Caenorhabditis elegans: one gene and its partners. The protein of the gene in region 3 interacts with the protein of the main gene of each other region in a pairwise test. Each region holds a gene or a part of one and is shown on either strand. Other genes may lie near its edges.

Evidence for each region. The genes of interacting proteins can lie anywhere in the genome.
Region 1: the proteins of mpz-3 (region 3) and zzz-1 interact in a two-hybrid assay, tested with the Caenorhabditis elegans proteins (one large-scale study listed by BioGRID).
Region 2: the proteins of mpz-3 (region 3) and srd-49 interact in a two-hybrid assay, tested with the Caenorhabditis elegans proteins (one large-scale study listed by BioGRID).

What each region holds. Positions count from the first base shown.
Region 1 is NC_003283.11:10,906,197-10,910,979, reverse strand, and holds zzz-1 (G-protein coupled receptors family 1 profile domain-containing protein), read left to right. Parts: upstream 1-1,808; 5' UTR 1,809-1,841; coding exon 1,842-1,907; intron 1,908-2,547; coding exon 2,548-2,708; intron 2,709-2,755; coding exon 2,756-3,092; intron 3,093-3,141; coding exon 3,142-3,506; intron 3,507-3,557; coding exon 3,558-3,688; intron 3,689-3,891; coding exon 3,892-4,031; 3' UTR 4,032-4,220; downstream 4,221-4,783. Other genes in the region: F32D8.15 (Anti-sigma factor), read right to left, coding at 4,343-4,392, 4,439-4,592.
Region 2 is NC_003283.11:10,092,760-10,096,965, reverse strand, and holds srd-49 (G-protein coupled receptors family 1 profile domain-containing protein), read right to left. Parts: upstream 2,293-4,206; 5' UTR 2,247-2,292; coding exon 1,950-2,246; intron 1,610-1,949; coding exon 1,278-1,609; intron 1,235-1,277; coding exon 1,080-1,234; intron 1,034-1,079; coding exon 931-1,033; intron 782-930; coding exon 655-781; 3' UTR 635-654; downstream 1-634. Other genes in the region: Putative UDP-glucuronosyltransferase ugt-47, read left to right, coding at 120-634.
Region 3 is NC_003280.10:6,563,260-6,567,275, reverse strand, and holds mpz-3 (PDZ domain-containing protein), read left to right. Parts: upstream 1-1,879; 5' UTR 1,880-1,925; intron 1,926-1,955; exon of another isoform or gene 1,956-2,028; intron 2,029-2,122; coding exon 2,123-2,221; intron 2,222-2,404; coding exon 2,405-2,485; intron 2,486-2,534; coding exon 2,535-2,729; intron 2,730-2,773; coding exon 2,774-2,908; intron 2,909-2,957; coding exon 2,958-3,158; intron 3,159-3,226; coding exon 3,227-3,442; 3' UTR 3,443-3,482; downstream 3,483-4,016. Other genes in the region: dbd-6 (DB domain-containing protein), read right to left, coding at 102-142; F18C5.5 (Vegetative cell wall protein gp1-like), read left to right, coding at 615-648, 1,008-1,074, 1,116-1,559, 1,609-1,732.

The sequences.
Region 1 (4,783 bases), on a different chromosome or scaffold from region 3:
CTTTAATTTTCTTTATTTTGAAGTTCACCCAAGAAAAAAGGCTTTGAAGTTAGGCGGAGCTTATATTTTGCTCCTATTTTTCTTTTTTACTTCTGACTTGCATAAATCATAATAGATTAAACGAAACGAAGCTCCACCTATCCATTTTCTTTTTCACTTGATCCTTTAGCTCATAATGCCCTCACAATACAGTAACCCTTATGAAAACATCAAAAATCATTTGCTCATCTAAACCTTTTTGTGTTCATGTTCATTTCTATGTGTTAGTCAGCCAATTTCTGTGAATATTTTACTTGTTTTCTGGTAAACCGAACGCCACGAGCGCCAGACGAGTAGGACCTCATTGTGATCCTGTTGTTCGTTTTCTCTTGGGCTCCAAAATACGAAGAGGTACCGTAGAAGTCGAGAAGATGCAGCATCTATTGAAAATATATTTCTTCTAGATCAAATGACCCGAAAACTAACGTGTAAATCGAAAATTGCCCTCCCTACGGTTGTGTTCTCGAATTTTATATTAAATGTGCAACGCATAAAACGAAACCAACGAAAATTACATGTGTAATGTAATAATAATTTTTTTCGATGCTCAAATTGTATTAAAAATTTTTACAACAATTAACAAAAAAGAACCAAACGTGATTTCTTTGATAAAAATAACAATCAATGGAATATTGAACCAACTGACTGAGATACTGAGTGACTGAGATATCTCAAAGCTGATATCAATCTCCTTGACCTTGAGAACAATTCTTGATCAGTCAAAGTTTAATATCAAAAGAAAATCAAGATGTCAGGCGGCATCTATAGAGGTGTTGATTGAGCAAAAGGTGCGACTTTTCGATAATTGATGAGCCTTTTTGACCTATCTATCCATTTTTCAATTTAGAATGATTTCTTCTCATCAATGAGAAAAAGAAAGAAGATGGTTGCGGTCTGCCCACAGATTTCATTTGATGGGTGTGCTCTTCTTCAATCTGATTCCAAAAGCCAATGGCAATGAGAATTGGAATTCTTAATTAAATTATTTCTTACCCAGGTTTTCTTTTATTTTTATATTTGTTTAAAGACTATTTTCATAACTTTCAATAGATTGACCAGCAATGGATCAGTTCCGCAGAGTTCAGAAAGTATTTCAGATTGAAAAGCAAAAACGGAGTAATTAATAAGCAATAAATTAATTCTCCGATACCACGAGTCTCCAAGGTATTAGTTTTAAACAACAATACGTATCAAGCCTAATTATTTAGTCTATAAGACCTAAACATTAAGCTTCTTAAAAATTACTCACAGAACACCACAACGTCTAAGACGATTCAGTATTCAATTCTTGATTGTTTTTACTCAATTGGTTGCATGTCTGATGTTTGATCGATGTCATTTTTTATTCTTCTTCTGCGGTTTTCTTGTTATCTATTCAGCTCATTCTTAAATTCCTTTTGAAAATCAGTATGTGAATTGGAATTTAGAATCTAACATATATCTAGTATCCCAATGTGACCATCTTCTTAACTTTTTCAATTTCTCAATCAATCTCCCATTGCTATCTTCAAAATCTCAAACTTTTCTTCCAACTTTTCCCACTTTTTTCAATGTTTCACTAATGGTGTGCCAGTCACTCTTTGAGATTTTGGCTCGATTTGGCAACATTTCGTTTTTGTGATTGACGGAAGCCACTTCAAAAAGTCAGTATAAAACCTTCATCATTTTGAAAGCATACCTCATGTGAATCGTTTGATTCCTATTTCCAGTATCCTAATTCTCTCTGAAAATTTTGTTTTTCAACGCAGTAATTTTTTTTAGTAATTCAGGTAATCGAATTCATTGTGTATGAGTTCTTCGTAATGGACATCGGCAATCAGACAGCGTTAGAATCGCAAGCAGAAAATATTTCCAGTTATGACAGCACGGTAAGAAAGAAGACACACAATAGGAAATTAGAAAATAAACGCAATTATGTATATTGTTGAATACGATTAATGAACTGGAGTATGATCAAGTTCCTAGTTGACACCTTCATCATTTTTTTGGCTCTACTTTGAGATCTGTGGAATTACTCTAGCTCACAATTATGTGAGACTTACTTTGAAATTTGCTGAAATGGCTCCTTTCACCGAATCACTTTTTCGTAGTTCTAAAACCAAAAAAACGTATAAACAAGCTTGAGTTGGTCTGGATTATTGAAAAAATTTCAAAAGAAATTATTTGAATGCAAAAAATGACTTAACACACGGCTTTTCATTCACAGTGTGAATACAAATTCCAGAGAATTTCTCGATCGTTCGTTCTGTTGAATTTTTATAAAATTTATCAAAATAAAGTTTCTCGCGTTTTTTTAAACGTTTAAACAAAAAAACTGTAAAAAAGTTTTCACAAAAAAAAGTGTTCAGAATTGATTGCAATTTTTTAAAATTCGAAACGTTTCGACAATTTTCTTCAAATTTTGAACACGTTAGCGCTATAGGGACTATTTCAATAAAAACTCCCCACGGACCATACCTTCGAACAACCTTCGTACAATAAAAATGTTTTTAAAATATATTTTTCCAGATCATGCAACCTGATTACACAAATCCGTGCTCGGCGGCGGATGACTATCTGATCACGGAACGATTCTGGTTATGTGTCGTTGCTGGAGTGACTGTGTCCATTATATCAATTGTGTTCAATACATTTATATTCTTTGTTTTTGTCACAAATAAGCAACACCGGTTAGTTTAAATTTGGAAAATGTTTTGTTTAATTTCTAAATTTTCAGACGTTCACCAAACCTGTACCTTTTGCTACTTTCCCTTTTTGACGTCTTTATCGCATTTGCTTATATAGCCGTGATGTCAGTTCGGATTCTTGTGAACTTCACGTCCAGCGTATTTCTAAAATCTATTTGGGTCCATTATATGATTCCAATGCTAACTGTTTCTCACATCGGAATCACTTCTTCAACTTTTCTCATTTGCTTTGCATCAATTGAGCGATATTGTATTACAGTCAATCATTTCTTTGTACCGTACCTTCAAAGATTTCGGCCTCTTCTTGCATTTACTGCAATAATGTGTGGAGTTGTGAGCAAGGGAACAATTGTAAAGGAAGTCGATGTAAGTTATACTAGAAATGACGGCGTTAAAATATTTCACCTATTTTCAGATTTCTTACAATCCAGAATGTTATGGAGAACTGAACTATTGGACGGTTGTTCCCTCACAACTCCTATTTGATTTCCCAAAGATCAATGAATATTGGCGTTTTTACTTCCGTAACATTTTCACAATCCTTGCACCATTCTTCATACTTCTTCTTGTAAACTGCCTTCTTCTTTTCCAACTCCGCGAACATGTCTTGAAAAGTAAATGTGCTGATCATGATAAGCAGAATGTGAAGGAGAAGAAAGCCCGAATTCGTGCAACTACAAAATCTGTCGTTATCATCGTTTGCACATATCTGATGTCCAACCTGTTGTCAGTCATCATTACTATCTGGGAATATATAGATAAAGAGTCCATTTTTAGCGAGTAAGAAACACAACTTATTTACGTTTGAAGCCATTAAATTTCTAATTTCAGAGATTGGATAGCATTCTACGTTCTTTCTGTTGATGTTATCTCCCTTTTGACAATTGTGGCTTCGTCTGCTCGTTTACCAATTTATGCATATTTCCAACCGCTACTGAGAAAGGAAATGGGACAGTGTCTAGGTGAGCCAAATCATTTGAAACTATATTGGCACTTTGAAAATAATGATAATGTGCCTATTTTTATTTTAAAACAATAAACTATCTCTATCTATGTATATTGATAGCAATATATTTCTGTTCTCGACATGATCTTTAATAGTCCGATTTTCTACTGTGACTGTCCGAAAATCAGCTTGAAAATCTTTTCATTTATTCAATTTCAGGTGACTGGTGGTGTTGCTGTTTTTCTGAAAATGACAAGAAAATGTCTCTTCTGGACGATCTTCAACTTCCAAAAACCCAATTAATTTCAACACCAGATGGTGAAACTCCAAGCATCAGCTCCAAAATTGAATTCGTCTAATATTTTTGCTCATCAAGATTATGGTTTCAATCGAGAAATCAATTTTTTATTTTCTTTTTTCAATACTGACGTGCAATAATATTAAAAACGTTTTGTCAAATCTCGCGGGTTTTTGTTTTTTTTTATAATTTTGTGACTATTATGTATCATTCAAGCAAATAATGTTTTCAATGATAATAAAAATATTTTCTTTATGTAAATCTTATTGTATTTTAAAAGAAAAAGAATGAGAGAAAGAGAATTACCAGTAACAAAGAAGAAAGAGGTGGTAAAATAATAATTATTGAGATCGTATTAGACTATTTTTATATTCATCCATTGTCCGAACTTGTTCTCTCTTTTGATTCCATTGATTTCAAACCTAAATAAATATTATTCAAATAGGTGAAAAAAGATAAATAACGAACCATCTTGTAATATTGAAGCCAAATCAATTTGTTTAGATTCTGCAACTTTTTGTTCGATAGTTGTAGCCATTGGTAGAAGATCTCGTTCGACTTTTTGTGACAAGATTGGAGATTTATGAATGGTGACGGTTTTATTAATTGGGTCCGCCGGGTACTGAAAAAAAAAACAAATATTTTTGGATTCGAGAAGTCTTCAACTACATTTTTTTAATTTTCTCTATCTATGAATTTTATGAGAATTGCCAGTTAAAATGATAAATTTTAGAACAATATAAAATTAGAAAAAGTTTATTGGCAAAAAAATACATTGATTTTTATTTATTTTATTTTTAAAAACTTGACTTC
Region 2 (4,206 bases), on a different chromosome or scaffold from region 3:
TTGTATTATTGTGTTTGTATGAATCTTCCAAAAATCCATACAAAAAATTTAATCCGTTGAAATCTTGTGGGCTGGAAAAATCAAACTACATTAAAAGTCTGATAATCAAATACATTCAGATCATCCCCGCCTTCGTACTTTTATTACACATGCTGGTTACAATGGTCTTATGGAAGCAGCTCTTGCCGGTGTTCCATTAATTACGATTCCATTTATGTTTGATCAGAATCTAAACAGTCGAGCAATCGAGAAAAAAGGATGGGGAATTAGAAGAGACAAAAAACAATTCCTCACGGAGCCAAACGCCATTGAGGAAGCTATAAGAGAAATGCTCACAAATCCAAGTTATACGAAACAAGCACATCGAGTACGTGACTTGATGAGAAACAAACCCATGGGAGCAAGAGACCGATTTATAAAAACAACTGAGTGGGTTATTCAGAATGGAGGAGTTCATGAATTGCTGACTGAAGGAAGAGATCTCAGTATCATCAAGTATTACAATTTAGATATCATTGTTCCATGTTTCTTTGTTGCTTTTTATTTCATAATTTTCCCATTTTTCAAACTCTTTGGAGGATTTTATTATTACAGTTGTTTTGGTCATATTGAATCAAAATACAAAAAAGATTAATGATTTAAATAAATATTTTATCACGTTTTTCTTGATACCGCCCGAACTGCAGAATACCCATTTCCTTTAGACATTATGTCATTGTCTGATAATTTTGATAAGCTGAACCTGCATTGGCGAACTGCGAGAAGATATTTGAAGAACATTCTGAAATTATTAAAGTTAGAAAAAATGTGCTCAAGTTGTCAAGTTTATTAAGAATATTCTCCAATTTTCAAAGAAAATACAAGCAAGTTACAGTAGTATAATATTTATTTAAAAATTGGAACTCATTGTTTTTAAATACAAAATCTTACCGCCTGAAAGGTATTACAAATACAATTGATAGAATTGGATCTATCAAAGTTGGGAGAATTACCAGAAATGAATTGAAGTACTCGAGTATTAACACACCAGCTTCTGAACATGAAAATCGCATTTTAAAAATAATTGTTGACTCGTTTACCCGAATATTGTGTGAGAAAGAATTGTACGACCAATGGTACAAAACAAATACTTGGAATTAAAGTTTGAATTGTCAATCCCGTGATCATACTCTTCGCATGTTTGATTCGTGGAGATTTGTATTCTTCGTATTCATTTAAAAGTCCCCATATCTTGCTGAAAGGATATTTCATAAACCTTTTTAGAATAATAAACTCACTTGCGATAGATAATTGCAGCTAGTGGGTTTAATACTAAAACAATTGTGAAAATAATAGTAGATGCTTTGACTGCAGGAGACGTCAACGCTGAAAACCCAAAAATTGAGTTTTGCTCAAAAATATACGACGGATGCAGAGCACGAGTTTCCAAAACAATTGCATTGTGCTGAGATGGATTTATAAATTGACAGATTGCACAGAATATAGCAGGTAGATGCACAATTATGAAGTTTCTCATTATTTGGACTGATGAAAGTTTTTGATGGGATAAGATTTTATACCGATAGTAGAATACATGAACAATTGCAAAAAGTGCAACCATTGAAGATGCCTGAAAATATTAAGAAATGATCTCTGTTAGGATGTGGCTGTAGACAAGAAATATGATTGAATGTCAAACTGAAATTTGAGCCTATTTCAAGAATAGTGTAGTTCATATTTTATGAGAATTTTTCCAGAAATTAAAAAATATTTTTCCATAAAAATAAACGTTAATAAAAAATACAATTAACTGATTTTAATTGGGCAAATAGTTAAAATTTTTAATATTTATATTTGGTCATTTTGGCTTTCGTTGTTGTATCTCAATTTCTTTGGAACAGAAATATTTCGCAAATGCTCTTACATGTTTTCTGAGTTTTCACTTAAAAATTCAATAAAATTCAACTCACATCTCTTAATAAATGCAGTAGAAAACACGAACGTCTTCCAACTCTGATGCATACACCTGTACATACAAATGCCACTGTTGTTTGATTTGGAATCATTCGACATTGCGTTAGAAATCCCGAAATTATAGTTACAACTTGGGCGGCACATATATTTAAAAGATAAATTCGCATTGTTCGTAAAAGTTTTGTTTGATTTTTGAATATGAGCAGAAGTAACAAAGCTTGTGAGAAGAGAACACTGATTGCAAAAATTGGATAGGCAACATTGATGAAGGCAAGTATGTCTACTTCTTTCATACTCTGTTTAATCTGAAATTAGAAATATTTTAGAGATGAAAATATAGAACAAGTAATGAGTATGTAATGACGAATATCTCGGATTACTAAATAGGTGGGAAATGTGGCGGGCATCGAAGGACACGTGAGTGTGGGAAAAATGGAAAATAAGACGAAAATGTTGTTAAATAAGGGACAGATGATGAAAACTGGAGTCATAAAACTTATATTTTATTGAAACTAGAAAAATTAAAAGGTGTGGCCATCGAGCAAAATCAAGATAATTCAAAAACATTTGCACAAAGTTCCCGCCTTCGCTTCGAAAAGTGTCATAAGAATGAAGTGGAAGCAAGTAGAGCGGAATGCAAAAAGCGGAAGTGCAGAGAGATCGAAATATGCAGGATTATTATGCGAGTAAGCTGAATTTCAAGTGTTCTATGGACAATTGAATTAGTGATATGTAGACGACTTCTGGTAACTTGTAAAATTTGCTAGCAGAGCATCAAAAAAACGTTCGCGAATTTAAGTAAAACGGCGCATTAGGTTGTCATAAACTCTAAGCTTCACATTCATATAAACTCTAAATCTAGCTAAAGTTTAATCCAAGAAAAAGTTTGAGTCCTGAGATTTGTTATGGCGAAAACAGAGAATGGACACTTGTTTTAATTTAATATCTGTTAATTTAAGTCAAACCAACTTCGAAGTCTCAGTACATCTCACCGGTACTTTCTTTGATAGACGAAACTATATCTGAAGGAAACGCATACGGAATGAGAGGATCGATGACGGCTAAAAATGGCTCCAAAGTATATACGATATATATATATATATATATATCGAAAGAAGATTTGAGCTACAATGTCGTTACGTTACAAAATTATTTTCACGAATTTTCAAAATTTCCCAAAAGCAGCGAATCGCGTGTCGTGATTACAACAAAAATGGGATTCCTCAAAATATGCCCAATAGCTGCTGAAAAGTCGCAGATGGCTGTTGGGATCGCATAAAACGGCTGAACGGTCGATTTGCAGGCAAACAGCTGACGAAAATTCAGTTTTTTCTGAGAAAAAGAGTTTTAGTGGCTTCTAACGGTAAGTTGATTGTTTCTTGCGTGAAACTTGCGTTAAACATAAAACAAACAAAACGTAAGATTTTGAACAAAATTAATTTCGAGCTGGAGGTCAATCGGATTAAAGACCGTTTGCTTTTTTTCAGCAGGAATTGAGCAGCTTTTCAATGTTCCCACTTTACCTGTAATAAACCTTCTCAAAAAATTCTAAATTTGATGTAATTGTGTAAACTCATTGCCGGATTTTTTGTTGATTTAGGCAGATCTCCGTCTTTTGATAACCAAACTTGATAACTTTCGGATGCATATAAATCGAAAATGTGCGAAAATCTACAAAAAGTGAAAAGTTCGAAATTAGCAATCAGAATATCTAAATCAGGCAAACAAAAATTAATTTCCGGCTTTTTAGTTTCGCGCAACTCACGCCCGCCTTTGCGCACCTTCCAGTCTTGTACCCCCTAAAAAACTAAATTATTCAAAACCAATTCAATTTTTATCTGCACTAAAAATACATAAGAATTAAAGTTTTCGTTTGTGAAAAGTCTCAATAATACGGTTGATAGGAGATGTTTGAATTGACGATAAAGATTGACATTAGACAGAAATACATGTGGGCTTGACAGCATTCCCTTGAAAAAGTTCGAATAAAAAGCAATCTTTTGTGCTCTATTGTTGAAATTTCCCCCCGCCGAGTAGAAAGTTCTCAAATTTAAAATAGACGCGGAAGAGTATTTCACTATTTCTGAAGTATCTCGTTTTCTTTAAAACTGAACCATAGAAAATATCTTGTTTTTTGTTGCAGTCTTTATGTTCAGATTTTATTTTAGATTTTATATAAGACCATCACAAGATTTGGACAAAATAAAACTACAAACAATTGACATGATTTGTTCAGACTGACGAATGGCAGAG
Region 3 (4,016 bases):
ACTAGATGATCTAGATTCCACTAGATGTTTTAGATGCTTCGGAAACTTTTTATTGTGTCAAAGTTTTAATTTAAAATAAAACTTTTTTCATATAAACTTACATAACGAATAGTAGACAGAAAAAGAAGACGCACGTTCGCATTGTACTGCGAAAATAAAAATGGTACGATTATAACAGTACCACCTCGAGTATCATCTATGTCCCGCCCATTATTTGAGTGTCCTCAAATTTGCATAGCATTGTTGTAAAACCATGTCACAAGTGGGATACTTTACAAAGTATATGTTAAAAATTGACAGCGAACACTAATGTTCTGAACAACATAGAATTAAATAAAAATCTAGCAAGTTCAATATCACGATAATCCAATATATCCCTGTTTGTAAAAACTAATGTTAGCTGAACTTTCATCTTATTGAAGACAGTGTACAAGTGGTGGATATCCATTGTCTTTTTTCATTTTCAACGGGAATTTTCATTGAGATTTCCACAAAATGATGGCTAATTGATAAGGGCAAAACGAGAAATCGTAGGAAGAAAAGTGATAAGAAGCGACGCCTTCGAGGCTTATTCTATCTTTTTCGTCTTCTCATTTTTGTGGAAAGAATCAACAATGAAGCTTCTTCTGTTAGCTGTTTGTGTCATCGGTTAGTTTTTCGATTGTTTCGTTGATTTATCCCTAAATTTAGCTCTAAATGGTAAAGGAAATATTTATCTAATTGGGTTAAAATATGTTCAAATTTGTTTTAAAAAATATTAAGAAAAATACATAACTAATTTATTTGACATATCCAAAACTTCTTAGTCATAACAATTTTACCCAATATGAATTCTGCTTGTACGTCAATAAATTGAAACGTTCTATAAATAACCAAATTTCGATTCTCATATTTTCTTCGTCTTGCACGAAATCGCAAAAAAAACCAGTCCAGAAAAATTGCTTCTATATAATTTTCAGTTGATCAATATATTTGACTTCAAAATTCAATTAATTTCAACATTTCAGGATTCGTTGCATGTTATGAAGTTGTACCGAGAGCAAGTGCTTTAAGACCGAGAGGAGATGTTCGAAGGTTTAACATTTATTCCATTTTTTCTTTAATCTATTCTTCAGATCACCCCTCCCATCATTATCGGCATATGCTCCTTTTGCTAAATCTCTTCGTCCAGCTTCTACAGGAATCCGACGTGCTCCAGCAGTTGTTACACTTCCAGCTCAAAAAGCTAATCGTTCAGTGAAAAGAGCTCCAGCTAAACCACTTCCAATGACACTTCCACTTCTTCCACCACTTCTTCCACTTCCACAATTCATTCCAGTACCTGTACCAGTCCTGTCTGCAGAAGGCCTTCCAACTCTTCCAACTCTTGCTCCACATACTTTCCCAACTTTCACTCCAATTCCTGGAATGCCAACAATGCCTGCATTGACAATGCCACCAAGTTTCCAACGTCTTCTTGGAATCACAACTACAACTATGAAACCAGCTGAAAAAGCTATGGAAACTGTTCAAACTGAAGAATCTGATAATGACACAACGTCCGAAGCTAGAGCTCATAGGTGAATTACTCAAATCAGGAGAAAATAATCTAATATTAATTAATTTCAGCGCCCCAACATACAGCAAAGATCTGAATACAATTCGTTCAAGACTTTCAAAGTTTGTAAGAGGAAGTGAAAAGAAAGTGACAAAAGCAGAAGACAACGCTGATTGGATTGTTCCATTCCATTGATCTCATCAAAATATAATAATTTTAATTAATAATAAATAATTTAATTAATTTAATAAATATACCCGCGTGACATCGTTTGAATTCGTTTTACACAGAAAAAAATCAGAAAATAAAAAGTGAAAAGAGAAACTGAATCAGTTTCAAATATTTCCTTGTCGACAGTTGCTTTCATCTTCGCATCAATCTATTCGGGGTAAGTTAATATTCAGACTGCAAAAAATCAAGCCACCTAGGGGACTCGAACCCCTGACCTTAAGATTAAAAGTCTCACGCTCTACCAACTGAGCTAAGGAGGCCAGCGAGTGCGCTGGGTCCAAAGGCATAGACGCTCGACTAGTTACAGGAGACGCGAGAGTGGGTTGCTGTGAGATAGACACGTACTATTTACAGATGGCAACCAACAACAATAGTTTTCATGTAAAAGGAAAAGAAGAAGTACAATTCGAACGGAAAAATGTGGTTGTAGCATGTGATGTGGTCAATGGAAAGGTAAATAAAGAATCCAACACAGGGCTCGCGTCGAGAGCCGAATAAAACTTCAAAAGCCCTGATGTGTAGAACAGTAGAACACTCTTTAATAAATAAGAAGTCCGGTTGCAATTTCCTTCGAGGCTGTAAAAAGACTCATTTTCAATTCAAAAATCGAAGAGATCTTGAATAATCACATTGCAGATTACATATGTGGATGTGAGTAGCCAACTGATGGGTGTTCTATTTGCTGGTGATGAGATTCTGAATGTCAATGGAGAAACTGTAAGGAATATTTTAAGATTTTCCGTTTCAACTAATCAAACATTTCCAGAACATCAAGACAACTGCTGACTTTATCCGTGCAATTAGTGCAAAACTTCCCGGAAAAGTGACAATTGAATTCATGCGAGACGATCATTGCCTTGTCACTGAAAAACCAATGCCACCACGTCGTCCAAATACTCAAATGGTTGAGTTGACTTTCACTTATCGTGGAGGTGCTGCAACAGGGATTATCATTCATAGAGTTAGTAATCAGGGACAATTTATACTTTCATGGATGATTTACAGATGGCAGTTGATCCAAAAACTGTGACTATTTCAATGGTTCAATCGGCTTCCAATGCGTGTCACTATGTCAAGGATGGAGATATTCTTGTTAAAGTTAATGACATTTATGTTCTTGATCGTGACTCTGCTAGAAAGGTATTGTAGTATTTTTCTTATTTTATTTTAGTAATTAACTTACTTTCAGCTTCTCTACGCGAGTGTCAACAACACAAAAACGGTCCGTCTTACATTGGAAAGATCCACAACTACTGATCCACTTGGTCCTGCTCCACCGCCTCCCGATGGTGCACAGAGCACACCTGCTGGAGTGAAGAAATCTGGAAATTCAGTGATGCTTCCTCCTCCAAAACCACCCCAAGGAAAAGCCAACAAGCAGTTTGATGTGGTCAGTTTGAACCCATTTCCTCTTATCATTTCATTTACCAAAACATGTTTTTATTTTCTTCTTTGCAGCTTCTTCCTCCTGATGTTTTGGAGATTATGAAGGCAAACAAAGATTTCTACAAGAAACCGTGCAAGAATCCTCCATGCATCATCAAAACAACCGCCGCATCAGCCCCTGCTCCAGTTCCAGCCACCTTGCCATCGGATCCTGCCCCAGAAGTTCGCATCCCGTACATTCCGTCTCCGAAGCCCCTGAAAATGACTCCAAAACGTGTGGGATCTTAACTTGAGAAAAGTGTTCGAAATAAAGTTTTCAAAAAGTGTTTGTTTGGTTGTTTACCGTTCTATCCATCCCTAACCTATGCCTAGAGACACAAATATTTACGGTCCTTCAACCTGTGATTTGAAAAAGGCAGGCCTAATTCTATTTATTGTTGAATGCCAGATTGGTTTCTCCTCGAAACCCTCATGAATCTAAAACCTACAGCTTTTACACATTATTTGAAACATTTCTAGTCTCACATCATCGTCCGTTTTTTCTTGCTCCTAGTTGTCTCACAGAGTTGCAAATGTTCATCTAGCAAACGTCTGCGTCTCTATGTCCTACTCACTATTTCCACTAGTTTTTCTTCCTGTCTCTCACTGTGCACGGACAGAGAGACGTACGAGACGGCCGGTGCTGCTTGGTACCGACTCTGTGCGTCTGGTTGTCCGTGTCCGTGTCCGCCCGCCGCTCTCACTCGCCAAAATATGACTGAGAATTGGAAAAAGGCAATGGATGAGAGTGTGTATCTGTCATTTCTGGATGCATACTGGCTCTCATTTTCACTTGATTCGGAGGGATATAGGCCATTTTAAC